Struthio camelus: one gene and its partner. The protein of the gene in region 2 purifies or fractionates together with the protein of the main gene of each other region. This does not show direct contact. Links are inferred from orthologs where the notes say so. Each region holds a gene or a part of one and is shown on either strand. Other genes may lie near its edges.

Region 1 (13,977 bases), on a different chromosome or scaffold from region 2:
GGTAACTGGACAGCAATAAATTTATTAAGTATTCAAAAAAAAAAGACACAAACCAGTAAAAAACAAATATTGGGGCGCTCACAGAGTCGCAGGACAGGGCTGAGCTAACTCATAATGGGGGACACGGTTAGTAAATACCGAATGGTTTCGGTCTTAGGACCCCTAATCAGAAGCAACTAGAAGCCGGCTAGGACTCGCTAAGGACAGCGGCACTGGCTAGCAGGACGCTGGAGGAGCCGGGCCTGGGGCAGGCGTGGGCCGACCCCACCGGCTTCACTTGGCGCCCTGGGCCTCTGACTCCTCCTCGTCGTCTTCGTACATCTCGCCCTCCTCCTCGGCCGTGGCGTCCTGGTACTGCTGGTACTCGGAGACCAGGTCGTTCATGTTGCTCTCAGCCTCGGTGAACTCCATCTCGTCCATGCCCTCGCCCGTGTACCAGTGAAGGAAGGCCTTGCGGCGAAACATGGCTGTGAACTGCTCCGAGATGCGCTTGAAGAGCTCCTGGATGGCTGTGCTGTTGCCGATGAAGGTGGAGGACATCTTCAGCCCCCGGGGTGGGATGTCGCACACAGCCACCTTGACGTTGTTGGGGATCCACTCAACGAAGTAGGAGCTGTTCTTGCTCTGGATGGCCAACATCTGCTCATCCACCTCCTTCATGGACATGCGGCCCCGGAAGACTGTGGCCACGGTGAGGTAGCGCCCGTGGCGGGGGTCACAGGCTGCCATCATGTTCTTGGCATCAAACATCTGCTGGGTGAGCTCAGGGACAGTGAGGGCCCGGTACTGCTGGCTGCCGCGGGCTGTCAGTGGGGCAAAGCCAGGCATGAAGAAGTGGAGGCGTGGGAAGGGCACCATGTTGACTGCCAGCTTCCGGAGGTCGGCATTGAGCTGCCCGGGGAAGCGGAGGGAGGTGGTGACGCCGCTCATTGTGGCTGAGACGAGGTGGTTGAGGTCGCCGTAGGTGGGAGTGGCCAGCTTGAGAGTGCGGAAGCAGATGTCGTAGAGCGCCTCGTTGTCGATGCAGTAGGTCTCATCCGTGTTCTCCACCAGCTGGTGGATGGAGAGCGTGGCGTTGTAGGGCTCCACCACCGTGTCCGAGACCTTGGGCGAGGGTACCACGCTGAAAGTGTTCATGATGCGGTCAGGGTACTCCTCGCGCACCTTGCTGATGAGCAGGGTGCCCATGCCCGAGCCGGTGCCACCACCCAGCGAGTGGGTCAGCTGGAAGCCCTGCAGGCAGTCGCAGTTCTCGCACTCCTTCCGCACCACGTCCAGGACGGAGTCCACCAGCTCGGCCCCCTCTGTGTAGTGCCCCTTCGCCCAGTTGTTCCCGGCCCCGCTCTGGCCTGCGGGAGAAGACGAGCCGTGCTGGCTGCGCTCCAGCCCCCCCGTCTCTGCGGAGCGCCCGGGGCCGCGTGGGCGCCCACGGCAGGTTGCATGCAGCCCCAACCCAACCGGGGATCCGACAGGGAGATCTGAGGCTGGTGAGAGGCGCCTGGAGCTGGGCGCGGAGGGGTGGGGTGGGGTGGGAAGTAGAAGCCGCAAAGGCTTGGCAGGGAGCTGCCGGCATGCCGGGGCCGCGGGGGAGACGCAGCCAGAGACGGCTCCGGGCACCCCAGCGTCGCCACAGGATGGGGTGTGGGAGCCATCTGGGGTCCGGCCGGTGCTAGCGCGGGGGACGTACCGAAAATGAAGTTGTCGGGTCGGAAGAGGTGTCCGAAGGCGCCCGAGCGCACGCTGTCCATCGTCCCCGGCTCCAGGTCCACCAGGATGGCGCGAGGCACATACTTGTGAGCTGCGGAGAGACGCCGAGTGACCCGCCGCCCCCTCCCTGCGCCCCCGAGCCCACCGCACCGTGGGGACCCCCACCCGGGGACCCCCCGCCGCCCTCCCTGCCCAGCCCGCCGCCGCCGGGGGCTTACAGGAGGCCTCATTGTAGTAGACGCTGATGCGCTCCAGCTGCAGGTCCGAGTCGCCCACGTAGTTGCCGCTGGGGTCTATGCCGTGCTCATCGCTGATCACCTCCCAGAACTGGGGGGGCACGGGGGGGGGGTCAGAGGGGGCAGCGCTCGGGGGCAGTGTCCCCCAGCAATGGGGCACAGCCCCAGCTCGGGGTGCCTGGTGCCAGCATGGCAGGGGGTCTCTGCACCGTTGGGGGGGGGGGGACAGGACAGGACCCAGGGGTGATCCTACCCTTTGCGGGGGGGGGAGGGGGCCTCTGCACCATGGGGGGGGGCAGGACAGGACCCAAGGGTGCCACAGAGGCAGGAGAGCACCCTGGGGGCCTGGCACGGGGGGGGGCAGGCTCTGCATCGTGGTGGGGGGGAGACCCAGTACTGGGAGTGCCACACCCCAGGGGACCAGGGGAGGTGGGGGGGGGTCACATCAGGAGAACCAGGAGGTCCGGGGGGGTGGCAGTGTCACCCTGAGCACCGGGGGGGTCACATCAGGAGAACAGGGAGGCCTGGGGGGGTGATGGTGTCACCCTGAGGACTGAGAGGGGTGTGTGGGGGGGGAGTCACGACGGGAAAACCAGGAGGTCTGGCAGGGGTGGCAGTGTCACCCCGGGGGGGGGGCCACACCAGGAGAACAGGGAGGTCCGGGGGGGGCTAGCAGTGTTACCTCGGGGGACTGGGGGAGGTGGGGGATCACACCAGGAAAATCAGGAGGTCCAGGGGGGGTGGCAGTGTCACCCCCAGGGGACCAGGGGGATGGGGGGGGTCATGCCAGGAGAACAGGGAGATCCAGGGGGGTGGCAGTGTCACCCCAGGGGGGGGAACAGGGAGGTCCAGGGTGGGGGGGGTTGGTGGTGTCACCCCCGGGGGGGGGTCACCCCGGGAGGTCTGGGGTGGAGGGGGGTGGCAGTGGTACCCGGGGGGGGGGGGGTCACCCCAGGAGAACGGGGAGGTCCGGGGTGGGGGGGGTGGCAGTGTCACTCGGGAGGGGTCACCCCGGGAGGTCTGGGGTGGAGGGGGGTGGCAGTGGTACCCCCGGGGGGGGGGTCACCCCGGGAGAACCGGGGAGGTTCGGGGTGGAGGGGGGTGGCAGTGGTACCCCCGGGGGGGGGGTCACCCCAGGAGAACCGGGGAGGTCCGGGGTGGGGGTGGCAGTGGCACCCCCGGGGGGGGTCACCCCGGGAGGTCTGGGGTGGGGTGGCAGTGGCACCCCCGGGGGGGGTCACCCCGGGAGGTCTGGGGTGGGGGAGGTGGCAGTGTCACCCCCGGGGGGGGGTCACCCCGGGAGGTCTGGGGTGGGGGAGGTGGCAGTGTCACCCCCGGGGGGGGGTCACCCCGGGAGGTCTGGGGTGGGGGAGGTGGCAGTGTCACCCCCGGGGGGGGGTCACCCCGGGAGAACCGGGGAGGTCCGGGCTGGGTGGGGGGGGGGTGGCGGTGTCACCCCGAGCACCGGGGACAGCGCCCCCGGCCCCTCCCCGCCGCCTCGGGGCGGGTGGGCGCTGGCCGCGGTGCTGAAGCGCCGCTCGCGGCGGCCCCGGCGGCACCGGCACCGCCCCGGCCACACCGCCGCCGCCGCCGCCTTCGTGCTCGCCGGCCGGGCCGGGACCGGGGGCGCCGCCCGGTGCCCGGTACCCGGTGGCGGCGGCGGGGCTGCGGCAGGCGGCGGCCCCCGCCCTCCCCTCCCCCGCGCCGCGGCGGACAAAGGAGCGGGGCGGGGCCCTTTGTTCTGCCCGGTGCGGCGGGGCGGGGAGGGGGGAGGGGGGGAGCCTTTGTCCGCCGCTGCCCTCCGCAGAGCCGGGGCGGGGCCGGCGCAGCGCCCGGTGCCGGTGCCCGGTGGCGGTGCCCGGTGGCGGGCGTTACCTTGGCCCCGATCTGGTTGCCGCACTGGCCCGCCTGGATGTGGACGATCTCCCTCATGGTCGGGCCGGGACGGGCGGGCGGGCGCGGAGCGGTACCGGCAGCGCGGGGGGCGGCACCGCCGCCGCCGCCGCCTTTATAGGCGCCGCGCGCCGCACCGGGCCGGCCGCTGACGTCACCCCCGCGCCGCAGCCAATCGGCGGCCGCCGCCGCCGCAGCGCGCTGCAGCATCCCTGCAGCACCGCGCCCGCCCCGCCCCGCCCCGGACCGGACCGGCACACGGACCGGACCGGCACACGGACCGGACCGGCACGGCACACGGCACGGACCGGACCGAACCGGACCGGCACGGCTCGACACGGCAAGGACCGGACCGAACCGGACCGAATCGGTCCGGACCGGCCGGCACGGATCGGCCAGCAATGGATGGGCCCGGATGACCCGGCACGGATCGGCTCGGCACGGCCGGGAACGGATCGGCCCGGCCCGGCCCGGCTGGGATTGTCCCGGCCCGGCCCGGCCCAGCCCGGCGGCGGCAGGGGGGACCCGGCGCTCGTGGACACCCCCCACCCCCACCCGCACCCACGGGGGGGGTGTCACCCGCAGACACTCGTTGTGGGGGAGGGGCAGACCCCAGCCCAGCTCCCTGCGGTGTGGGGGAGGGGAGGGGGCCCCGGCCCGGACACCCGTGGGGCTGGGGGACACCCACGGCAGGGACAGAGCCCACCTGCACGCCCGGAGTGGGGGGAGCGGGGACATCCCGGCGTGGAGGGGGGGGGAGAGAAAGGGAGACCCAGACACCACCCACATACTGGGGGGGGGCTGGGACCCCCCTGCAGACGTGGGGAGGGGCCGGGACCCCACGGGGGGGGATCCCGCCCCACACCACGGGGGGAGATGGGGGGCATCCCCCCCCCGGACACCCAGGGCTCCCAACACAGCCGCAGCCCTGCAGGACCCCCCAGCCGGGGCAGCGGGGGGACGCGGGGAGCCACGGCGGCGGTGCCGCAACAAAGGCTGGCGGCGGCGAGGGGCCTCCCTTTGTGCGGCGGCGGCCGAGGACGCCTGGGCCCGGCGAGGAGCCCGGGGGGCTGCAGCCCCCCAGCGCCCGCTGCGGGGGGGGGTGCTGAGCGCCGTGGCCTCACCCCGCTGCCCCATGCAGAGCAGCCCCACGGCTGCTGCCGGTGCCCGGGCGCACGGGGATGCGGCAGCCGAGCAGCGACACGCGGCGGCCGCCCCACGGATCCGTCATCGGGGCTGGGGAGACGCCGGCTCCGCCGTCGGCACGCACGCCTGCCCCCAGCGGCTCCCAGTCCATCCCAGTCCCCAGAGCAGGCAGGTGCTGGACCTGCTGCCCCCCCCTCCCCGCCCCACAAAGCCGGGGGGCCGCAGGGCCGGGCGAGGGGCGGCAGCGGGGCTGCGCACGGCGCGGTGCCAGCCACAGCATCAATGCAAAGAGCCTTTATTCAGCTGGGTGGTACCGCGCGGCCGGGCGGCGCGGGGCCCCCGCGGCACTGGGCGCAGCCTGGGCCGGGCCGGGGGGGGCCGGGCCCCGCAGCCCGTCCCCGCCGGGCCGTGCCGTTACCTGCGCGCAGCCCGCGTCCCGCTCGCTACCAGGAGCACAGCACCACCTCCCGCAGCGTCCGCCGGAGCTCCCGGCTCCGGAAGGCGTAGATGAGGGGGTCCACCACAGAGTTGCAAATGATGAGGATGAGGAAGAGGTTGAAGTAGCTGAAGAAGCACGTGCAGAAGGGGTTGGTGGGGCAGGTGACGATGAGGATGAGGTGGAAGAAGAAGGGCCCCCAGCAGATGAAGAAGACACCCAGCAGGATGGTGAGGGTCACAGCACCCTTGAGGCTGCTGGTGCGGTAGACAGTGGGTTTCTTCTGCTGGCTGGAGATGCTGCGGAGGTGGTGGCGGGCCAGGGTGAACATGTGGATGTAGAGCACCAGCATGAGCACCAGCATGAAGAGGAAGAAGCCGATGAGGCAGAGGAGGATGGCGTTGCTGCGGTAGTAGGTGATGAAGATGGTGCTGGAGACAGTGCTGGCCAGCCAGACGCTGGCTATGGTGACCACGGCCCGCTGCAGCGTCATGATGCTGTGGTAGCGCAGGGCGTAGAAGATGGTGATGTAGCGGTCCACAGCGATGACCCCCAGGAAGGAGAGGGAGGACACGACGGAGCTGCAGATGAGCATGTCGATGACATTGTCCATGTGGCGGACGATGGTGGCGCGGATCACCAGCACGCCGTGCTCCATGAGCAGCATGAAGAGCGTCTCCACCAGGTTGCTGACGCTCACCAGCATGTCGGAGACGGCCAGGCAGCAGATGAAGTAGTACATGGGCGAGTGCAGGTTCCTGTTCTTGAGGATGGCGGCGACCACCAGCACGTTCTCCACCAGGCTCACCAGGCCCAGCGTGAGGAAGAGCTCATTGGGGATGTCGAGCCCCTGGCAGCCGGCACCGCCGGCCCCGGCCGTGGCGTTGCTCTGGTTGCCCTCGCTGGCGTTCCAGGGCTCGCGGAGCAGGCGCAGCGGGGCCAGCGTCGACATCGCGCCCGCCACCGGCCCGCGCGCGCCCTCGACCCCGGCGCGAGGCACAGGCCCCGCGGGCGCCTCTCCTGCGACGGCTTTGGGCAGAGGGAAGCGACACTCGCGCCTCCTGCCGCCCCGGGGTCCCGATGGGCACGCGGTGCCAGAGGTGGCCCGCTCGCCTGGTGGCCGCTCCGCACCCCTGGTTTCTGCAGCCGCTCACGTCCCCAGGCTTCCCCGGCTCCCCTTGCAGCCACGCTCCTCCCTGGTCCACAGTGGTGGATTAGCGGGAGTTATGGGGAAGAAAGGACCCTTTCTCTGCCCTATTTTAAAGCCGGCTCCCTCAGCCCCTCCTCCGTGGAGGGTGGGCACGCACATGACAGCTCTGCACCCCAGCAGTGAGGGCAGCCGCGCGGAGCCTGTGGCTGCCGGACCCACAGTGCTGTCCTGTGCGCCCTGCGATCCTGGGGGGCCGGGGGGCTTCCTGTGCACCCTGGGGTCCCCTAGGCACCCTGAGGGGATCCCATGCATCCTGGGATCCCCATGCATCCTGGGGTCTCCTGTGCACCCTGGGGTCCCCTATGCACCCTGAGGTTGCCTGTACACCCTGGGGTCTCCCATGCACCCTGAGGTCTCCCGTGCACCCTGGGGTCCCCTATGCACCTTGAGGGTCCCCTATGCACCCTGGGGTCTCCTGTGCACCCTGGAGTCTCCCGTGCACCCTGGGGTCTCCTATGCACCTTGAGCAGATCCCATGCACCCTGGGGTCTCCCGTGCACCCTGGGGTCCCCATGCACCCCTGTGCCCTGGGGGACTGGTGTGCCCTGGGGAGTCCGTGCACCCCGGGGAGCCCAGGGGGCCGTGCGGCCTCCCGCTGCAGGAGCAGAGCGGCTCCTCCCAGTCCGGTGCAAAGGGCAGAGCTTGCCCACGGCTCTGGGTTTGCTCGGAGCCACATCCCACCGCAGAGCCAGCTGCGGTCGGTCTGGCCCCTGCAGACCGCCACGACGTCCCTGGGGCTGCGGAGCACCGCCTCAGCCCTGCTGGGGTGCTCGCAGGCCCCAGGGCTCCAGCAAGGGCACCAGTGGCCACAGCAGCACGCGGGGAAGGCGGGTGGCGCGCCGCGGGGCAGGTGACAGGGTCTAATAGGGATCTTCAAAGGCTCCATTTTCTCTGGGAGAAGAAACCGGCTGCTGGTCCCACCACCCCAGTGCTGCTGGAGCATCCCCACCACGGCCGGCCCGGCTCCGCACGCAGCCGACACGGGGCACCAGAAGCTGCTCCGGGCAGGGGGACGAGATGCACCACGGTGCCTCGCAAACGCCAAGCCCAGCCAGTGAACGGACTAAACAGAGTCCCGGGCCCTGGCCGGCTCCCCGGTCGCTGCCTGCAGAGCCGCCCGGCGCCGCTCGGAGCAGCCGGCCCCGGAGCCGCGCAGGGGCCTCGGCTCCCCCCGCCAGCGCCGCGGCGGGCTGGGGAGGCGCGGGGCCCATCTGACCGTCATGTGCCTTCTGCTCCGTGTTGATGCCTAGAGCTGCGCAGCTGCCAAAGAGCCGGTCACATCAGCATGAGAAGGCCGGTCCCGCTGCCATTCCCACCGGCCGCTTCCGGCTGCTTCCCTCAGGCTGCCGAGGGCCCCTGCTCGGGGCGGCCCCGCCGCTGATGAAAGCACCTCTGTGCAGGCCGGGCGACCGCACGGGGAAGGGCCCGTCCTCACCCCGAGCGGCTCCTAAGTCAGCGCGGCAGGGATGGATCAGGAATTGTGTCTAGTGCTCTGGGGACAAGAGCTGCCCGTTGAGCCCGGGCCGGTGCGCGCTCACCCTGCCGCCGGGCTGCTGGAGGCGGCAGCCGCTGCCCGGCTAGAGCCACCTTCGCACCCGCGGCCGCAGGGGCAAGGCCAGCTCCGAGACCTGCTCCCCCTCCACGGCAATGCTGAGGAGAGGGAAGCCCGCAAGCATGAGCCCAGGCAGCTGAGCCCGGCTCTCCGAGGCGCCCCAGGTGCTGAGGGGAGTCCAGCTGTGCTCAGCACCAGCCCCCTGCGAAGATGGTGTCCCCAACACCTCCCACCAGTAGGTCTCCTTAGGGAGCAAACAGCCCAGGCTGGCAGGGAAACCTGCACACGAGGAGGCCAGACCAACAGGCACTGTCTTCCCTTCTTGGCTGCTGCCCAGCTAACCAGTGCACCGATTCGTGCAATGAATTTCAGCTTTATCAACAGAGCTTTTGAGTGCAAAGCCATAAAATGCCCAGTCTGCAACTTCAGAGAGCACGAACTGAGCCAAGAGCAGCAGCACAGGACCAGGGAGCAGAAAGGGCGCTCCTCCCCACGGGACAGAGCCCCGTTCGCTCTCCTGCCTGGGACGTGCCAGGAGGCAGGACTGAGCCCCCAGCACAGACCGCGAGGCTCAGGGCAGCCTTCCCCACCAGCCCCAGCGCTGCGGAAACCCACCCACCCTGCGTGGGGTGCCTCATGGCCACTACTCAGACTGCCGCTTTATGAGCCAGGCTGCTCCCAGAAGCAGACGCAGCACAGACAGCGGCTGGAGCAGGCACTGCACCAGAGCGGGAGGATTTTTCTGGACAGCACAGCCTGGCTCAGCATTAGGCAGCCACATATACCGTTACACAGCAGAAATAGAAAAGCTTTTGCTCATAGTTGCTGTCTGCCAGAGTGTTATTACAGCTGACCTCATTCCTGGCTTTGCATCGTTTTGTGCCCTGCTCAAAAGCAGCAAAATAGGGGAAAGAGAAAAAAAAAGGGGGGGGGGGGCAGGGGACATCCTTTCTGCTCCCAGCATGATCAAACAGCTGCATCACAAACAAGAGCTGCTCCCTACACACCTGGGTGAGACGCGCAGGGAGACCTGCAGCACCCAGGGTGCTGGGGTGCCACGTACTTGAATGCAGCCTGTTGCTTTATGCTGGCCGGAGTTCAAGCAGCGCCCTGGCCCGTTTGCACCCCGAGGCCCTGAGGGGACAGCAATGCCACAGCGACCGCTGAGCCTGTGCTTTGACAAGCTGTAACCCTCGTGAGGGCTGGGGTGTTTCAGGGAGGGAAGGAACCTTCAGCCTGAAGGAAGTGGCGAAAAGCAAAAATGGCCAGAAGGAAGAGGGCAAAAAAGACTACAGCCATTAAGCGTCCCTCCACTCTGGGGGGAGGGATGTTATAGATTAGCTCCGCCATTTTAAGGCGGTTCCTGGCCCTGCACTGAGAGATGTGAAAAGTCAAGAGCCTACAGCGGCAGCCTCCACCAGACAGAGCTCTTTCCCTGCACCAGGAAAGACCACAAAAAGCAAGCCCCTCTGGTTTGTGTGACTTTATTGGAGTGCGACACAAGTCAGGGGTGTGATTACACAGTGTTATGGTGGAAGATGCACTCTCTCAGCTCAGTCCCAGTCCGCATCGCCTTCGGGATTGTCGTCTCGTGGGGGCTCCTGAAACTGGATGTTTGCCAGCATGTCCCGCATGGCTGCCATGAGCCTGTTCACCCCCTGGTTAAGGTCCTGCCCTGCTCCAGCCTCTTCATCTCCATCGTGCCTGATGTCCCCCTGCAAAAGAGCAGAGCTAGAGTAACCAGCTGCGGAGCTGCCTGTCTGCAGCAAACAGGGAAAAAAAGCAATGTTGCCTGCCAGGAAGACTCAGACTGTTCTGCAACCCGACGTTTATGAACTGCACATGCCAAGAGCCACTCCCTTTGCAGAAACACTGTGCAGTAGATACTTCTCTCTGTATTGAAAGCAGAAGCGTGCTCAAGTTTGCCAGCAGCAGCTGACTGCACATACCTGTAAGTTAAAATTTGGCAACAGTGATCGGAAGAAGAGCGATAAAGTGCTTTCATTGGATGGATGATTCATTCTGAAAGAGAAAAGTCACACAACTCTGTTAAGGGGGTAGCTTGGTATTTGACCTTTCTGTACTCATTTGGGCTAAGACAGTGCGGAGAAGCTAGAGAGGACCACGCCGTCAGTGCCAACGCACAGCACCTCCCCAAGCCAGCCCAGCCGGGTGGGCTTCCCCAAAGCAAGGCTGGGGGTTTCATGGGGATTTGCTTGCCCCAGGCAGCCAGCAGCTGGCCAGCATCTGGGCAAAGCAGTCATTAAAGGCGCTACTAGGTTTCCTCCAAGCAGGGTCAGTGTGTGTAAGACGTGTACCAGCTTCACCCAAACAGTCTTTGCACACTGTGGCTGGCAGTGATTAAATCTGTATTATTCCAAACCACCTCATTTAAGAGATGCTAATGCCAACCAACATTTTTCAACAGCCTTTGTCTTAATGGCTGTGAATAGCTGCTGTCTCCGAAGGTGACCACCAGGCATAAACAAAAGCAGTAGGACAAGTTCTGCCTGTACAATTTGCCTGTCAGCAAGAGCCATATGCCAGGCTCTTACACGGACGACGACAGCTCCGAGCGCCGAGCACTGAGGCACGCATGTTGGGAAAACGTTAGCTGTGCCGGTGCAGAAACAAGGAATGGAAAAGGTACCTTTCTGGTCTGGTGTAGGAAATGACAGAGTCCAAGGGAGGTAAGGGGTCAAACCCCATTACAGGCTGCGATGTCACCTCCTGGAGAGGGGAGAAAAGGAAGAGGTGAAGGTTGTGCTGCTGTGTGCTGTGTTAAGCCTGGCAAAATGACCTCTCTGTGTGTCCCCTCTGGGACCCCTCCAGCGGCTGTGTTTTAAGACATGCCCAGCATTTGCACGCATAACAGGGATGCAAGTGCCATCACACCGCACACAGCAACGCCATCTGTGCTGCCTTAAGGCCCCTCACCAAAGGCAGAGCTGCCGTGGCTTCCTTCATCTCTGAGAGGATCACATGCCGGTAGATATTCCTGGGTGCACTCTGGTATCGCATCTTCCTCCTAAGGCAGGGAGAGGAGACAGAGGATTTCTGCTGAGAGATCGCACAGAACACCTCAGCACAACAAGGTTTTCATTTCTGCTTCTCTGTGTGCAATGTCAGCTTCATCCCTAGTTCTGCTGGGACTTGCCACGTTGGAGAGAGCTGGTCTAAGGCAAAGCCAAAGTTGCTGAGCGGCTGCTGACCTCTAGATGAAAGAGCAGAAAGGCTCAGAGACACTGCAGATTCTCTCACCACCTTTCTGCAGGTCAGCAGAGCAAACTAATTTCAGTTCAGGACAACACTTAATGCCTCCCTCTCCAGCTTCTCAGAGCTGGAAGTTGTTCTAAGCACTTGCCTGCCCTGTGCACTAAATGCCTTTGAGCCAGTGCAGTCATCACCTGCCGCTCCCAGCCAGCGGCAACCCTTTCGTCCTCTCCGCACTGCTTCCGAGGCACATGCAACAGCTGAGGCTGGAGGAAGCTAGCGCGGCGCACGTTCCCCCACGAGCAGGAGCTACAGCTCTTAATTCACCTTTGTGCAAAGCCAGGAAGAAGGGAGCCTCTGCCTTCCTGGCCCCACAGCTTAACCCTCAGCTTTGAGGCTCTGAGCCAGTGCCAAAGTCACTGCTGCCCAGGAGAGAACTTCTCTCTAGTCTGACTACCTCCCCAGCCTGGTCTGTCCCAGTTTTCTGCACCCATGTCTGGTACAAGAGCTGTTCTTCTGTCTACCACACTCACTTTTGCTCGCACTCCTCCACCAGCGGGTCCCTGGCATCCACCTTGCATAACACCTCATGGACATTTGTCTCCAGCCAAGCCATGACAGCAGGGTCCTTCCACAGGGAGTGAGTCCTTCCCACGTAGAGGGTTGTCAGCTGGTTCAAGGCAGGAGGCTGGCTATAGGAGACAGTTATTATGCAGGGCCCCTTCCTTCCTCCTGCCTGCAGGTACCTGTGTTGTCTGGAAAGGGCTCGACTCTGGACTGTGCTTCAGTGTGAGAATATGAAAAGAGGAATCACAGGCTCCTAGCTTTGCTATTTACATCTACCTTCACCAGTTTTTCTGCATCCGTCTGTTTTTGGGACAAGCACAGCCATGAGATGAAAGTTCTACTGCCTTTACCCGAGGGGGAGACCATTCATGTGTTTACATGACCACGTGTCAGGGAAACCCAGACTGGCAGGAGACAGCCTGCCCCAAAAGCATGCACACATTGTTCTGTTACTACATGTACCAACAAGCTACAGTATGAACTTCTGACCCATCTACATTAAGGTGAGGCAGGTCTATTAGACTTATCTGGTAGCTTTTATGGGAATCCATTATCAAAGCATCTGATAGCTGCTCGGCATGCCCTATTCAGAAAGGGTAGATAGTCTCCTCCGCAGCTTATAACTCTATTAACTGCCTGAGCAAGCAAGAGCCCCACTGCCAGAAGAATCGATTCCTTCTATTTAATAAGAACATCTCCAGCTCTTACCTTATCTGAGCGTTCAGCCCAAAAAAGGAATGGGATGTGACCCTGGCATCTGCCTGCACACTGCAGTGATCCAACAACGGCATAAGAACTGCAGGACAAAGTCACATAGCTCATTTTCAACAGACTGCCGAGAAGTGCCATGGAAGCAGCCAGGCAACCCTGCCAGGGCTGCAGAGAGACAGGCCTCCATCCAGGGAGGGCTGGTCTCCCAACAGGTTGGGGGTGCTGAATGAGAACCAATACAAAGAAGGATGCTGCCAGCTTCACAGCTGGAGTTTATGCTGTGTTTTATTCTCTGTGTGGATGACGGAAACGGATCCAAAAGAAGGAAAGAAAAACACCAACAAACTTTTTCTAGTGAAATAAGGTGCAATTGTAATGCTGCTGGCCTTTGATCTTGAACAAGGGTTTTATTTCAGTCACCATGACAAGCAGCAAAAAAAAAGACGGTTTCAGACAACACAAACTAAAGCTCTGTTCAAAAGCTGGTTGTTCCTGCCTATAAAGACACAGCCTCCCTGGCACTCTGTGTCCCCTCTGGGCCTGGAGGGCTACATATCTCCTTTCAGGGACAAGAGCCCTAACTGGATAAAAGCAAGAGTGATGGGTGCCCATACAGACCACATCTGAAGCATAGCAGTGCCCTGGAGGGAGAGCTGAGAGAGACTTGCTGTCTCTGCTCTGAGGAACCCTGGGGTAAAACATTTTCCTGCTCCAAAATGCCAGTTCTCACCCTCCACCAACTCGCGTGCCTGTGACTATCTATAGTGAAGGGCCATCAGCTGCTCTGACTGGAGGGTGAACGGCAGAGAGAACAGCTCCTGACCTCTTCCTAACACACAGCAGACTCATGGCTGTGTCAGCCCTATCTGATTCCACTGCTCACTCCCTCTGGCCCTGCCAAGGTGCAGGGCAGAAAGGCCGAACCCCACCACTGTCCACAGCAGGCTGTAGGTACTGCTTGGACTCTTACAGCAGTACCTGTCACTGCTGATCTGTATGACTTCTTTTGCCCCTCTGAGCCCGGGCTCCTGTCTCGCATGGACCGTGGCAGACACCGTTTGCAACCCACGGGCAAACTGTTGCTTCTGTTTTCGACTGCCTGGAATCCATCATTTGCTTTTTCAGGTGAAGACAGTGACAAAGCCTGTGGGGACAGACCTACCGGTGTGGACAGACTTACCGCTTGGGAACATGATCAGCGCGAGCTGGATAAGCCGGGCAGCTCTCTCCCGGGCTTGGCTTAGCTCCAGCTCCGAGCGCTCCTCCTGCTGGCTCAGAAAGAAATAGGCCAGCGGAACGGAGAAGG
Region 2 (15,503 bases):
AATTCCAAGCCAGAACATGAATTCATGTTTTGCACTTGGCCTTTCCCTTTAAAATGGCCTAAGAAAACACCGACAGCCAGAGACAAGCAAACCACGGGACAACCACCGCTCATGCCAAACGCCACATCCTTCGCTTTGCCTTGGGCCTGCTGCTGGAGTTAAGAGCTCACCCGACCAGGCATGAAGTGCTTGTTACGAGGCATGCCTTCCAAACGCGAAATGCAGTCCGTGCAAGTCACAAAGAGCACAGGGCAAATCGCTCCTAGGAGCTCAGAGGGGAATACGCTGGAGCGTAGCACACCCCAGGGCTCTGCCAGGGCTGCTACAGAAACAACTGCTGGGAACACAAGGTCTCAACAGCACAGCTAACAAACAAGAACTGCAGCAACCTGCCTCGACAAACTCACGATACAGCCTGCAGCAGTTAAGAGAAGACGCTCCACCGCAAGCTTTCGGAAGGTGGCTGCTAGAATGACGCATTAAATTTAGAGCTCTCAATATCAGACCAAAGTTATGCGGTACTCCTCTCAACCACTGTCGCAAGCAACTTTGAGCATTTGTCCAAAGCGGAGACAAAACTCTTTAAGAAGAAAGCACTTCTGTAATTATCACACTGAGGACTACAAGGAAAGAGAAGGCTCAAGAGGAACAAACGAGGTTTCCTCTCTTTTCAAATTCAGTTGCCACGTTGTCTTGTTTCTACGCATCTAGCGTAAGACCAATAGGATTTGTAGTACGCCCAGGCGGCTTGCATAGACAACCTCTCCACGCATTAAAATCCTGCTGCAGCTCCATCGGTAGACTCTTTCCATCTCCGTTACCAACATCGCTTTAGGCTCTCACCCACACTACCATGGCTCCTGAACCTCATTCCCACACATCTTGCCAGTCTATAAAACATCCCTGACCTACCTTATGCAGGTGTCGCAAGACCAACTTTTACACAGAGCTCCGTAACTGTGAATGCAGTAGGGAAGCTAAGCACATTTCTCCTTGGCAGGAAAAAGGAAAAAAGAAGAGAAAAGAAAAGCAGAAGTCTTAATTAACCATATACAGAACTGGCACAAACAGAAATCACCTGAGATGAGAACGCACAGACACTCATGAAGAAATGATCGTACACAAACAACGAAGGAGAGAACATGAAAACAAAAGCTAGAGCAAAGAGAAACCGTGTCCTTTAACTAGGTCTTTGCCTTTAACTTTACACCCCAGAGCAAATCAGCATGAAACACAGGAGGCCATTAAATAAAAGAGAATAAGAACGGGTGACACTGCTGAAGGTAACTGAAGGACAAGTGGTAGATGCAACAGGACACCGTTGCGGTGGAAAACTTCACAGTTGCTGGAAAAACACCACTGGAACATCCGGAATGGCAAAGTCTGACTTATTAGTTTGTCTCTCACAAACAAAACTGGAATCCGAGTCTTCTTCAAAGCATCAAATGATATGGATCACACTACTATATATAGCCTAAGACAGGGGTGGGTTTTCTTATAATAAATACACTAGCATCAGGCACCAAGCACACTGCTGCAGTCCTAATTACTTCTCCATTCTCAAAAAGCAAAAGTATCAGTCAAGAGTGAACCTAGCTGAGTACTCCGACTCTTGTCCTTGCTGCGCGTAAGGTTTAGTGAGCAGGAGACACATTTCTGTGCCGGCATGGAGCGCTTGACTCCCCCCACTCTCCCAACATCCATCGATTGTAACCACGTGACCCCAACCTATTCCTAACCCACTGGCCTAATCCTGTAGCGTGCAAGCCTAACGCACAGTCACGATGGAAGAGTGACACACTGCGGGGAGGACCTACAGCAGCCAGGAACACAGAACTCACAGGCAGCTACAAGTTTTTGACCACTGTCAGAAAGCAAAACCTTCTGCTGAACACCAGTGAGTAGAAAAGACAGTTTTGTAGGTCAACAGGAAGAAGAGGCTAAACTGCCAAAATAAGGAGGGGAAAAACAACAACAACAAAACCACCACCCTGCACAGCTGTTATTAAGGTGAGTTAAGTCAATGCTTGGGAACAGCCTAACCAGCTCCCGTAAGCATCCAGGTTAGGAACCCTCCTCTCACTTCTCCCCTGCACTCTTTCCACTCTTCCCTCCTGCCCTCTCACAGGTTGTGGCGACACAGTGACAGATCACACACTACTGGCCGGATACCCACCACCACCAATTCCACGTGCCAAGGGACAGACTGGCAGATCGGTCCTAGAAGCAGCCTGAACCTGTTCAGTCTGAACCTGAGCTAGCTCTGCAGCTGGAAGAGGCATCCCTTCCTCACCCCCTCCCCGTGGTGCCACCAAGAGGGATCACATGGCAAACTGGAACGTGACTCTGAGCTGGGTTAAATATAATCCAGTAAAAAACAGTAAAAAAAAAAAAACATTGCTTTTGACCCAGGCCAGGTGCTTGTGGAGAAGCTGAGAGAAGACAGGAACAGAAGGGACCAGTCAATAGCAGGTGGCAGTGGCTATCACCAGCAGGGTTGGGCTGACGTCCCTACAGAACCACAGCAGGAGTCATGGAGTCACAGCTCCACTGTGCTTTGCACGGTGGGTGAGGAACGAGGGCTACCTGGGAAATACAGGGAAGTATTTCTGTTGCAACGTGAGCTGAGAGACATCAGAACAGGACAAGACGAGAGACTAGGTACAACTAGGGGTACTCTTCTCCTATTTAAAATTGTTCTTTCTTTGATTACAGCATCATTCCCTAACAAGAACAAACAAAAAAGCAGTTCATTATCAGAGAGGAGTACTCCAACCTTTTTTTTTTCTCCTAAATATGGCCAAGGTCTGCAATTCTCCAGCAAGAACCTACTCCAGAGGAGAAAAGTCATCTCAAGGGCATGTGCACCCTGCCCCGCTCCACACTGCAGATGAGCTCACTAGAACAAGAGACAAGCTGACAAAGGAGCTGCGGAAAACACTGGTGCATTGCTCACTGGTTGCTAAAGCAATAGGGGCATCATGCGCTGAGCCTGCATGCAAGAACACGGATTATTGTTTTACTGCTTCAAGCACAGAAGCACAGGGAAGATCATGACTGTTCCTTGTGATTACCCATTTTTAGCCCATTTTGTGGAAGCACTATTTCTTCTGTACAAACTGACAAGACAAACTGGGCCCTCCTCCAACCCTCTTCCAACTGGTCTGGCATCAGCAATACTAGCACAGTCTCCCCGAAGCAAACAAGGAAGGTTAAAAGGTACCAGTGAAGCGGGATTAAAGGAGAGGTTTGGGTGTCACCTTACAGCGTTTCAGCAGCCTCATCCCTGCCATGCTGCAGGAGAAACGCTGCTGACCCACACCCTGACTCTTGGGGGAATAAGCAGGGCATTTTCAGGGAAGGTTTCTTAACTACAAAACTGCACCCTGGTTGCAACAAAGCTGTTAAATGACCTGCCAACACCTAACTAATAACCTTGGCTCATAAGGCCAAGGTAGATTCCACAACAGTCTGCTCCATCTTCCACAGAGCACATGACTGCCACAGCAATAACCACAGCCAAAATCAATAAGTGAGAACTGAATATTCATCGCAGCCAGCTGCGACTCAACAAGGTGCTGTCCCTTGGTACGACCTGGTAAGTAACTATTTCTTTTTATGGGAAGGCCGACATATTGCTTAAATCACAGTCAGTGATTTACCTGCAAGTGATTACCTGCAAGCTGTGTTTACCTGCAGTGATTACCTGCAAGTTGTGTTTATTTCTGTGCAGGACACAATGTCCTTGGAAGGTGGCATACTTGTTCCAGAATGCAAGACTCTGCCCTTCAAAGCGATCTGGATAACAGACGGCACCCGATCAGAGCTGCAGCAGCTTTCCCAGGGATCCACAGTAAATCAAGATCTGCTTAAACCACGATCTCAGAGGGGACAGAACGCACAAGGTGGCAGACGGCCTTCAGTGCTGCGCGAGACTCCAGCAGGCACGTAGCCTCAGGTAACACTCCTTCACCCACACTTCCACCCTTTTAACGGGCAATCGCTGAGCGGCCAGGACACAGCCCGTGTGTCAGAGTAAGACTTCACTGTGTACTTCTATATCCGTATACCCAAGCACAAAAACCAGCCGATGGAAAAAAACAGCTTCTTCTAGTAAGGCAGTGAGTAGCAGTATTAGGCTTATAGGAACGTTGTCGAGTTAGAAATAGTTAGCAATCTTTTAGCCTAAGAACTTTGTGTACTTCTTCCCAGCTTGCTTCGTGAAATATAATCACACACTCACTTCTGGTCTTCTTGACTTCCAGTTGTCAGGTTTTGCGCGAGTCACAGATTTGTATGCAATCTTTCTAGACCCAAGTCAAACGTGCTTAGGACTGTAGGACCAGAAGGGACAACGTCCTTTGTAAATTGAACAAGATCCACTTTAAAAAGACAGGGTTTTTTTGCCATTATAACAACCCTTACTGTTCTGATAATTCAAAGAAGGTTACTGAACATCATCTTAAAAGCATTCATGACCTATTCTTCTGCCAAGATGGTGCTTGAGCTTAAATAGTCTTCTCCCTTCCTGGAGTCAACTGAATCCTTATTAGATAAACTTGAAGAAAGCCAAGAGAAAGTTCTAACCCAAAACAGGCAAGTGCAATAGAAAGTTCAGCCAAATTAATAAGCATCTAATTGCATCCAAAGCCTATAAAGCAAATGTTCTGCTTTTTTTTTTTCTTTTTATTAAGAGCTTCAAAGCGTTAGCTGTTCACTTTCACAAGCACCATAACTGGAATGCTCTTTGGCAGCATCTAGGTCAACAGAGCCCTTCTGCAGTGAACGTGAACATACAAACCAGACCTCAAGCCTATGAAGGGTTTACCTTGACTAGTACATAAAAGTACATTTGCCCTAACCTAACACACCTTGAAATTGTAGTCAAGGTAATTACAACAGTACAGAAAATTGCTAGCAGAGCGCCATGATACAGCAGGTACAACTTAGCAGCCAGCTTACGTCCACCCAGTCACCTCCACAGGGCAAGTCCACCAGCCAGCCAAGAGCCATGCAGAGACACGGGGTATCTAGCTGCTGTGTTCCTAGCAGGGACATGCGTCTTTCCTAGCAGTCCACGAAATTTGTCTCTTATCCCCCTGCCAAAAAAGCAGGTTAGATTTTCTAACAGAGTGCCAGCACAGAGGAAGAACTTTTGGAAAAGTTTCCTCCCTTCCATCTCCTCCACATCATTGTCCTTGCTGAAGGCAAACCTGCAACAAGACAAGGTGTAACGATCACAGGACTCCTCCTGAGACCTTCCACGCCTTCCAGACAAAAAGTGAGGACCTGGTGCCCTCCATCACACAGCTTAGAAGACTTTACAGCCAGGAAGTCCTCGGACACATGCGTAACTCAAGAGGAAAAAAAAGCTATGTTGCGCCTGTTCCTGGGTATGAGGAGACTCAACAGACTGGTGCTCTACAAATTCTTTCAGTTTGCCTGGAAAAGCCCTAGCAGAACATAAACTTGGAAAGTTTTGTTCGTGAATTAGGAGGTAAGAGCATCTGCATTCTCTGATGGCTTATTTAATGAGGAAAATAAATAAAACCCTTTAAACAAGTGGAACCAGGCCAATCTCAACAGCCAGTCTAAGGCAAGGTGAGTCACAAGCCCGTCCTAGTTCCGCAGAAGCGTCACTGCCGACAAATCTCCTAAGTTTTCAGAACTCATCCCTTTGGAAAACAAGCACGCACGTAGGCCACATGAGCCCAGCGGCTCCGAGGGGAGAACGACGCTTTAAAGGGCTAAAGGAGGCGGCTGCGCACGGGCCGCTCCGTCCCACCTCCCACCGGGCCCGACTCCGCTCCCAAGCCCCCGCTGAACGCGGCTGTGGGTCCCCTCCCCCAGCAGCCGGGGCCCCTGCAGGCCGGCGGGTCGCCGCGGACCGGCAGCCGGGCCCAGGGACAGGCCGATGCCTCGGACGCCCCTTCGGGAGCCCAAAGCTTTGCCGGCCGCGGCCAGGCCGTCACCCTCGAGGCAGTCAGGGCACCGAGCCTCAGAGGAGGAGCCTGAGCCTCACGCCAACTGCCTCGCTAGCCCGTTGCATCGCGGGTGCCAGGCGGCAAAGGCGGAGCGAGGCCCGGGGGGGCCAAGCGAGCGGCGCCGCCAGGCCCCGCGCAGAGCCGGCCCCGGCCCGGGCCCCGGCCGCGGTGACGCGCACGGCCGAGCGCCCCCGCCGCCGCCTCGGGCAGCGCTTCCCCCGCTCCGGCAGCGCGGCCCCGGCCGGCCGGGCCCGGCGAAGCTCCCCCCCCCCCCCCGCGGCGGCCCGCCGCCCTCACCGGACTTGGGCGGGTAGCGGTAGGCCGAGTTGGCCTGGATGTCGATGTCCTCCACGCCCGCGATGCGCCGGCTGAGCAGGGAGCCCATGGCGGCCGCGGGCAGGGCGGGCGCGCCGGCGACCGAGAGAAGCGCGGCAGCGGCGAGCGGCCCGCACCCGCGGCGGCGGCGGCGGCGGCGTTGGCAGCGGCGGCGCGGGGCAGGCCGGGAGAGCGAGTCCGCCCGCCCCGCGGCGTACGGCGGCCGCCCGCCCCGAGACTACAACTCCCGGCAGGCACCGCGGCGGCGCCTACCAACAGCGGCGCCGCGGGGGGGGGCAGCGATGCGCGCCCCCATGGGCTCTCCCGGGGCGCCGCGCGCGCCTCTGCCGGCAGAGGGCGCTGCCGCGGCCCGAGCGGCAGCCCGGGGCGGCGGCACCGCGGGCACCGGGCAGCAGGATGCACGGAGAGGACGCACCGGGATGCACCTTGCATGGTGCCTGCCAGCTGCAGGGCAGTGATCAGATGAAGCCCGCCAGCCCTCCGGGCCTCAGCACCAAGCCGTGCCCGCTCTCCGCCCAGCCATGTCCTGCCGTTGTCTCCAGGGCCTTGCTCGCCTTTGGGAAACCACCAGCGCCTTATGATGCACGCAACGCTGCCCTGAGCAGCCAGCCGTCACCATCGCCCGCTGTCCAAGCCATGAGCTGTGGGCAACAGGGCCGTGCTGGAGCCCTGCTGGGATGGGTGCAGCACCCCCCGTGCGGTCCCTGTGGGGACGGGTGCCTGGGGTGAGCCAGCACAGCACAGGCAGGACATGGGGTGGGGGGAACAGCAGAGGTAGCCCCATGGGGGAGGCTGTTGTGGCACCCACGGTAACTCCCAGGGTTCGTCCTCTCACAGAGAATCACACAGGAGGGTGAGAGGAGGTGTCCGAGATCCAGACGTGTGAGCACTCATACGGCAGCCAAGGACTGAAGGGTCCCTTGCATTAATGACATAAGGGCCAGGCCTACAGGATGGAAGAAGAAGCATAACAAGATGCCAGCAGCATCCCAATGCAGAGCCCTGTCCCCTCCAGTGCCAAGACCTTGAAGAGGCCCAGGGAAGAGCACCCCAGACTTATCTTGTTAAGGAAGCTATCTTCCTGCACACACACTATGGACAAACCAACAACACCCATCTGGGGACCCAGATTCCCAGCTTTGGAGCCCGAGATCCCCAAGAGATGCAAAGGAGCTGAGATGCGAAACAGGACCACAGGCATGTTTGACTTATTGCTTAAACTGGCCTCAGGCCAGGGGGCCTGAGGATGCTGGGAAGACAAGATGTTGCAGCAAGCCGAGCCTGATGGCGCAGGAGGATTTTGTGATAGCGACTGATAAGGCGGCGGGTGGGACACGTTGGCTGTAAATACAAACTAAAACGCACCTGGCGGGAACAAGCAAACAAGCCCTAGGTGGAAATTTGCTTCCAGTTAGTTATCACCCTTGAAGGTGCGGCTGCTCTGAGCACAGCAGCTTCATGCTGGTGGGAGCACACACAGCACACGGAGCTGCGGATGGGAACAAATGCTCGGGGTGAGAATAAAGCAGAATCAGACCTTGCTGTACCCAACTGGTATATCCCTGGGAGCATCGTTTTACATGCAGATGTGTTGCATGCTGTTAGCACTCACTCCGTCCTCACATCTTCTCCTAGGGAATCCTGGCTCCCATCAGGCCCAGAAATTAGGCAGGGACTATTGACCATTCCTGGGCACAGCTGAGAATCACACAGGAGACGCTTCAAATTCTCAATGTACCTGAAATCTGATTTTTCCCCATGGCACCACACTGCACTGTTAATGATCCACCCCGGAGCCCTGTGAAACTAGCCAGTGCCATTTGCAAGCCCCACGCTAGGTCTGAAGGGCGAGTGGCACCACAGGAAGAACTAGCCTTGTATTTATTCCCACAGCAGTGGGCTACATCGACTCCAGCCTCCACGCAACCAGTCAGCTGCCCCCCCTTGACCTGTAAATAGGTGAGATAGGAGCCCAGCTGCAACAGGGAAGCTCCGCAGCTGAGCAGGACTCTGTCACAGGTTTAAGGCGACCGAGGGGAAAAGCCAGGGAACTAGAAATGCCCACATCCTACCTGCAAACTGCAAGAGCTGGGTAAGCGGGGACTTGTTGCCTTTGTTTCGGGCCTGTTTCCGTCCTACCCCATTTACCAGCTGAGGAACGCTGCTGAGTGCCGCCCTCAGCGGCAGCGGCCAGGGCGAGCAGGAGTGAGAGCAGCTCATCCCAGCCATGAAAGCCGCAGCCTGATCTGGCTCACGGAGAAACGCACCCCTTTGTCAGCACGGTGGAGCAGGGCTCAGCCCAGGCCCCGTACACTGGGCCTCGCACCGAGCCTGGGATCACCCAGGACTAATGGGGACAGTCGGTCTGCAGCTGCATGTCCCAGCCTCTTCTCTCTCCTCCTCTGCACTATTCACCTGCTTTCCTTCTAACCGCAGGAGCTGGGGACACCTTTTGCGTTTGGAGGAGGGCTGAACGCTTTAGTTGGCTGTTGCAGTAGCAGACCAGGAACTTGCCTCCCCGTCCCTGCAGTAAGAGCTATTTATTACTAGACACATACAGCACCTGGCTCACGGGGGGACCCCAGCTCTGCTGGGGCCAGATGGTGCCTTGGCAATAACTTGTGTCTGGGCGCTGCCCACAGTATCCCGCAGGCTGCCTGCTGGCGTCCGGAGGGTCGGTCCCTCTTTCCCAACCAGCCTCTCCTTGCGAGAGTTTCTCACAACAGACATTGCAGGAAGAGGGAGGAATGGAGTTTTTTGAACTGCAAAGCCACGTCCGGCCCACACGGGCTGCCCAGAAGCACGTCCTGGCTGCTCCCTGCCTGCACAGGGAACTCACAGGGACGCCCCGCAGTGGGGGGAACGAGAGCCCTGGCAGAGCCCTGGCAGCGGCAGGTCTGATTCAAACAGCTAGCAGTGCCACGGGCAGCCCCAGACCCCGGTAATCACCCAGAAATCCCCCAAAGCCACCTCACCCCGCACACCAGCAGCTGCCTCTGGGCTCCACGCAGCCCAGCAAGGCTCAGCAGAGGGGAACATCTCCCTGCGCCTGGCTGGCAACCGCTTGTCAACCGGAGCAAGGGGGAAGAGGGGTGCCAGCGGTGCCTCCAGGGAGCACCGTCCCAGGGCAGCACGTGCTGCTCGCTGGGGAACCCAGCGCCGCACAGGTTAAGCAGGGCCTCCAAGCCCAGGGGAGACCGGTGTCCCGGCAGGCAGCGCGCTGCAGGCACCGGGGAGCTCAGCACTGCGGCGCGGGGCCCTGGCGCAGGCCTGGCATCGGGGCCGCGTGGGGAAGCGGCCGCAACGGGAGGCTTTTGTTCCGCGCAAAGTCTCTACCAGCAGGAAGGTGCCCGCGGGGCTCGGCGCAGCTCTCCAGAGCTCTGAGGAAGTGGTGGGGCCCCTCGAGGGTTGTCATCTGAGAGGGTAGGGGCCTTTGCTGAAGAATATCTCCCCAAGGCCTCTGCTTAGCGAGACGCGTGTGACAGACAACTACAATAGCAATGGCACGCCAGGGACGGGCCCGGCCCTTCCGCTCCAAACCCCAGCGCCCGCGAGCGCCGGAGCTGAAGGGCAGCACCTCCAGCTGACAGCAGGGCCTTTATCCCTGCCAGGCCCAGGGGACGCCAGGCGCTAGCACACACAAAGGCAGGATATTGCACCACTTGCCTCAATTCCTTCGCAGGAGCCACTGTGAACAGCACGGGGGAAGGAAAGGGAACGACTCGGGGCCGGAGCAGCTACGGCGCAGCACGGCAAGGCCCCGAGCCGCTAGCCTTCCTCCCACCCAACAGTGCGTGGGGGACAGAGCGGCAGCACAACTGCAGCTCTGCATGGCCCGGGGCTCAGCTGGCACTGGGATCATGGCCTGTGGCACAGGCAGAGCTCAAGGTGCTGAGCGAAGGCCAGGAGCACTGGGCTCGTACTGCAGGTGGAGAAACTGAGGCCCAGGCCCACCCGTAGCTGCTTGGGTTCCCCACCTGCTGCTGTCTGCACTAGGCCACAGTGCCCGAATGACTGGATAGGCAGGTCCTGCAGCTCACGGGTGGGAGCCGGCTCTTCCCTCTCAGCGCCCGTGCTGCAGCCGCAGCAATGGCACCCTCGCCTCCAGGCTCAGTGGCTCCGCTGAAAGCCCCAGCTCCGTGCTGCCAGCCCTGGGCCCTGCGCTGTGCTCCAGGACACCTACGCAGAGCAATGCTGACGATGGAGAGGGAGAAAGGTCACGCAGGTGGGAAGCCCTCTGACACCCCTAAAACAGATGAAAACACTCCCAACACAAAACGTATGAGGAAGCCTGAAACCCCAGGGACCCTCCTGCGTTTCAAGAGGGCGTGAGGAGGCCTCTGCTCTCCTGGCCATCTCTGGGGTCACAGCTCGCCCACGTTCCATTCTGGGTAAAATTCATTCCGGAAAAGCTGAGCCTGGAGCCAGTCACCAGCTTGATTTGGAGAGGCTGGGCAGAGGAGCAGCAGTAGAGAGGAAGGATCCTTCAGCCGTGAGCCCATCTCCCTTGCTGGCTCTCAGGTCTCTCCGCTGTCTCCGTTTGTACACTCACTGTCACTGAGAGTTTATGTCGCTGTTTCCCAGATGCAGCTGCTCTCCAGTAGATCGCTTCTGTCCTGCAAAACATAGAGCAAGGGGAGCTCTGAAGTTGGACTTCAATTACCAGAGCGTAACCCAGGAGTCACTGCACAGAGCTTCAGCCTGATAAAGAGGCAGAAAGACAGGAGGGGCACTCACCCTACCACTGTTAACATGTTTCTCCAGCTAACACAGAATTGCCCTTCAGAAACCTCCTTGGAAGCCTCTGCCAGGGAAGGCAGTTACAAGCATGCCCGTGTACACAAGGAAATATGTTTGCCTTCAAATCTTCCACTCATCAGAGCAGCTCATCCAAAGTCCAGCTGCTCCTAGGTTTATTATCCAGTAAAGCAACTCGCTTTGTCTCCACTGCCCCCTCCCCGGTGCTGTCACTCCCGTTCTTTGTCAGGTACTTGCAGAACAACAAGGTTCAGGAGCTCTGGAGACCATGCATGAAGCTATTTCTGACCAGAAGGAGTGGCGAGCCCATGAACTTTGCCTCCTTAAACGCTGCCCTGCTCCAAAGGGCTTGGAACCCTCCCCGAAAGCCCTGCTGGGCTGGGGCCAACCCTTCCCCCTTCAAAATCAAACGGGAAGGCTTCTAAAAACATCTGTTTTTCTTGAATTCAAACCATCTTCCGGGAGGTTTGTTTTCCCAGCTACATTAACACCTTGCTGGCTACAGATCCCCTCTTACTGCTTTCCTCTTGGGATTGTCTTGACCTTATAAAAAACACCAGCCACCTCTTGACATGTCCTGCTACTGCCACTGCACAGATGCGGCCTCACTGATTTGGGCAGTGGCATACATACAAGGAGGACAAATCCCGGTGACCACCGGGATCCACTACAGCCTGGAGCACTTTGCATCGTTACTGAAGGACACATGGAAGACAGTTAGTTACCTGTGGTCAGTTTTGCACCCTACTGAGGCAAGTTGTATGCGAGCAGTGGAGACAGCAAATCACTCAGATCAAACGTCCGACCTGCTTGAGCTCCAGTCATTAATCCTTATGACTCAGAAATACTTGCAGCCGTATGCGAAACGCAGGCGAGCGAGAGAGGCGTTAGAGAACAGACTGCTTGTTCCGAGGCTAAGCCCAAAACATGAACACAAATTGCAGGAAAAGAGCCTAGGATCATTCAGGAAAGGTGGAGGCTCCGGGGCCTTCGCAAGCCCTGCAAAGCCGGGACTGTTTTCTTCGTTTCGCTCCGCTTGCTGTTTTTTCCCTTGCTTTATTATCTCCCAGCCTTTCGATCCGAATGTCCATGCCTGCTTATCGTTTCCTGGTACTTAGCAACACCATTGTCCCTCGCCAGTACAGCAGAGCAGCCCAGCAGTGCCTGCCTGGCTGCGTGCTTTCTTCTGCTATGGTAATGCCCAGCTCTCAAAAGAGCCTTTCATGTCACCAGGAGCCCCCGGCACCTTCCAGAACATTCCCCCACTGCAGCCTCTTGTTTCACATCTTGGCAATTATGCAAATAGCACAGGAACGTGCTTCAGCAAAGGGAGAAATGGAAGCAAGCCTGCAGATGGCTTATGCAACTCCCCATTTTTTATTTGTTGCTAGCACGGGAGCACGCAGGAGCCCTGGGCCTGGCCCTGGGACGCGGAGCCTGCCCAAAGCACCTGCATCCCCAGAGACCTCCCGCTCCGCTCAGCGCGGCCGCAGCAGCCTCGTCCCCCGGGCGTGCCACCCCGCAGCCTGCCGCGGTGCCAAGGCACTGAGGGGGCTCTGCCAGGGCCTGAGGCTCGGCCCGGCCCCGGTCAGCCCGCAGCAACCCCCAGCCACCAGAGGAGCCCCAGGAGCCCCTCCCGCCGCCGCCCGGTTAAACATTACCCGGGGGCCGGGCAGCCGCCGGGGCCAAAGGGCGGCGGCGGCGGCGCCCCCCGCGCCCACAGCGCGACCGTTGAAGGGGGGGAGAGAAGCCGTTGGGGGAAGCGCGCGACCGTTACACCCCCCCCCCCCAACCCGCCGCCCGCCCCGCGCACGCGCGCGCGCTCCAGCCCTGGCGCTCCCCGCGGCCGCTCCCCGCACGTCAACAGGAAACCGCACGCGGCCGACTGTAAACACCGCGAGCCCCCTCCGCGCCCCCCCCGCGCGGCCACGTGACCGGCCCCGCCCCAGCCGGGCCCGCCCCCACCTCCCGTTCATTGGGGGCAGCAGCGTTGTTGACCATATATGGTCAGGTACTACCACACCGCTGGCGGCGATTGGTCCTCTTGGCGAGTCACTCAGGACGCGTCGGCCTCTGACGCCGAAATGCAAACAAAGCGAGGGCTGCCGGGAGTCGTAGTCCCTGCGGCGGCGGCGTGGGGGGGCGGCGCGGGCGGGGGGGCGGGCGAGAACTACAGCTCCCAGGGGCGGCGGCGGCGCGGCGCCGCCCCGCCCCGCCCCGCGCGGCCGTCGGCGGGGCTCGCCGGGCGCCGTGAGTCAGTGCCCAGTAAACATTGGCGTGAGCCGCGCCGGCTCCGCGATGGTGGCGGCGCCGTGAGGGGTTTGGGGGGGGGAGGGGGGAGCGGCGAGCGCGGCGGGGCCCGGCCGGGACCATGGACGAGCTCAAGCACCAGGTGATGATCAACCAGTTCGTGCTGACGGCGGGCTGCGCCGCCGACCAGGCCAAGCAGCTCCTGCAGGCGGCCCACTGGCAGTTCGAGGTGAGGCCGCCGCCGTGCGCGCCGGGGCCGCGGCTGCCGCCCCCCTCCCTTCACCCCCCGCCCCCCCCGGCTCGGAGCCGCGGGCGCGGCCCGCCTCAGGCGGGGCCCGGGGAGGGCCGCCCCGCCCCTGCCCTGCCCTGCCCTCCCTCCGCGGGGGCGGCGGGGCGCGGCGCTGCCCCCACCCCCACCCCCACCCCCGTGGGCGGCCGTGGGCGCCGGGACGTGCGCGGCCGGCCCGCGCGTGGGCTGCGCTAGCGCGGGGTCGTGCTCCGCCTGGGGCGGGGGGGGGGAGCAGCTCCTCCGCCGCGGTGGGGGTGCCCCGGCGTGCGTGGGGGGGCGCCCCACGAGGCGAGCCCCGCTCCGCTGTGACACGCAGGTGGGCCCGTGGGTGCTGCGCTCGGGGGTGCTGAGCCCCGCATCCCCGCCGCGCGGAGCGGCTGTGGGCTGGGGAGCCCCGCCGTAGCCTTTCCCACGTCCCCTGCCTCTGAGGGTCTGAATGCTTAGGCAGCTGTGGGAGAGGAGACTTTGTAGGTCAAAGCTCTCCTCGCCCCGGATGTCTTTTTCCCTCTTGCTCAAAAGCAGGATCCTCCGCGACGTCGGTGGCAGCGAGCGTCGCGCGTGGGGTTGGGCTCGCAGGCGGGGGGCGCGCCGCGGCTTCGCCTCCACGCAGACCCCTGCAGCTAAAGCGTTGGGAGCAAAGCGGGGAGTGCGGCGGCTGTAGCAAGCAAAGCCCTTTCTAAACAGGATTTCCCCCCCCCCTCCCGCAGCCCCAGCAGCTCCGTAGTCTGGAGCTGATGGATTTGACGCTAATGGCACCTTTAGAATTGAAGTGCCCGTTTCTGTGATGCAGAAGGAGGTCTGAGTCAGTACGGGGAGCAAGAGATTCGGCTGGTGTTTGTCTGTGCGGCTAGGGCACCTCTTGCTCAGCACGCCGTGCAGCCCTGGTCTTTCAAAGCGTCGCCAGCAGGCCTCGGAGACGTTATTCGGCGCTCGTTCCCTAACGTGACGACTGTCAGATGGAGCAGACCTAGAGGCAGTTCATTGCTATGCAATCCGTGTGCAGTTACGAGATTTCCAGATGCTAAATGGGAAGCTGGCGTTCAAAGCCGAGCGGGCCGTGTCCGAGGAGCGAGCGGGTGGGGGCGTGGGGACATGCGGAAAGCCGAGCAGACGCTCCCGCCCGCCCGTGCCCAGCTGCCCGCCGTACACCTATTTGTTTAATGGCACGTTCTGCTTAAAGGGATCTCGGTTCATGGTGGACGCGGCCCGTGTGTAACGCGCTGCCTTTTTTGTTTACTAATACAACTTGACAGTAGCCCTCTGAGACTGGTAAAATCAGCTTCCGCCACCTCTGTGCGTGTTGTAAAAGAGCCGGGAACGGGTGACAAAAGTTGCTTCCCTTTGAAAAGGCATTTCGCAGAACTTTGCCACCGTTTGGCGAGTTGCACAAGTACAAACAGCCGTCTCCTGCCGGTTTGGCACTCACATGACTCAGAGGAAGCTCAGCTGTAAACAAACGCGCTGTGATGAGCAGTTACCATGTTCCCACTCACTTTTGGTGAAACGGTCAGATAATTCCCTTTGCAAAATGGCCGCTGGGCATGCCTTCTTTGGGGAGCTGTGCTGGGGAGGGGTTGTCTCCTGCCTCCAGAGTGCTCTCACCTCTTGGTCCTGGATGTGATATTCGCAGGCCTTTTTAAAACTCTAGCATGGGACCCATTTGCTGGCTGGCCTGGGTCTGCAGCGGGTATAATTTGGTGGAGTTCAGGCGAGTTCGGTTCTGACTGACCCTGCCTTCACTCGTAGCCTCCTTGGTTTCAAAGCGCCGCTCCTGGGGCGCGGGGTGAGTCAGAGCAGCTGACCTGCGCGCTGAGGACGCGCTCCTCCGGCTCTCCCCCGTAAGCCCGCTGCGTGCCGCGAGGAGAGGCGTTCCTTGGCCCCGAACG

Evidence for each region.
Region 1: the proteins of MGRN1 (region 2) and MC1R purify together in Homo sapiens (affinity purification with western blotting; 3 studies listed by BioGRID). This does not show direct contact. The link is inferred for Struthio camelus from reciprocal best matches to the Homo sapiens genes MGRN1 and MC1R.

The regions. Positions count from the first base shown.
Region 1 is NC_090951.1:1,774,362-1,788,338, forward strand, and holds MC1R (melanocyte-stimulating hormone receptor), read right to left. Parts: upstream 6,371-13,977; coding exon 5,426-6,370; downstream 1-5,425. Other genes in the region: TUBB3 (tubulin beta-3 chain), read right to left, coding at 274-1,349, 1,688-1,798, 1,926-2,034, 3,819-4,046; ribosome quality control complex subunit TCF25, read right to left, coding at 9,734-9,895, 10,130-10,202, 10,831-10,910, 11,118-11,208, 11,927-12,085, 12,669-12,756, 13,852-13,977. UniProt on the Homo sapiens protein: Receptor for MSH (alpha, beta and gamma) and ACTH. The activity of this receptor is mediated by G proteins which activate adenylate cyclase.
Region 2 is NC_090956.1:18,748,850-18,764,352, reverse strand, and holds the start of MGRN1 (E3 ubiquitin-protein ligase MGRN1), read right to left. Parts: upstream 6,459-15,503; 5' UTR 6,370-6,458; coding exon 6,282-6,369; intron 1-6,281. Other genes in the region: UBALD1 (UBA-like domain-containing protein 1), read left to right, coding at 13,450-13,557. UniProt on the Homo sapiens protein: E3 ubiquitin-protein ligase. Mediates monoubiquitination at multiple sites of TSG101 in the presence of UBE2D1, but not of UBE2G1, nor UBE2H. Plays a role in the regulation of endosome-to-lysosome trafficking.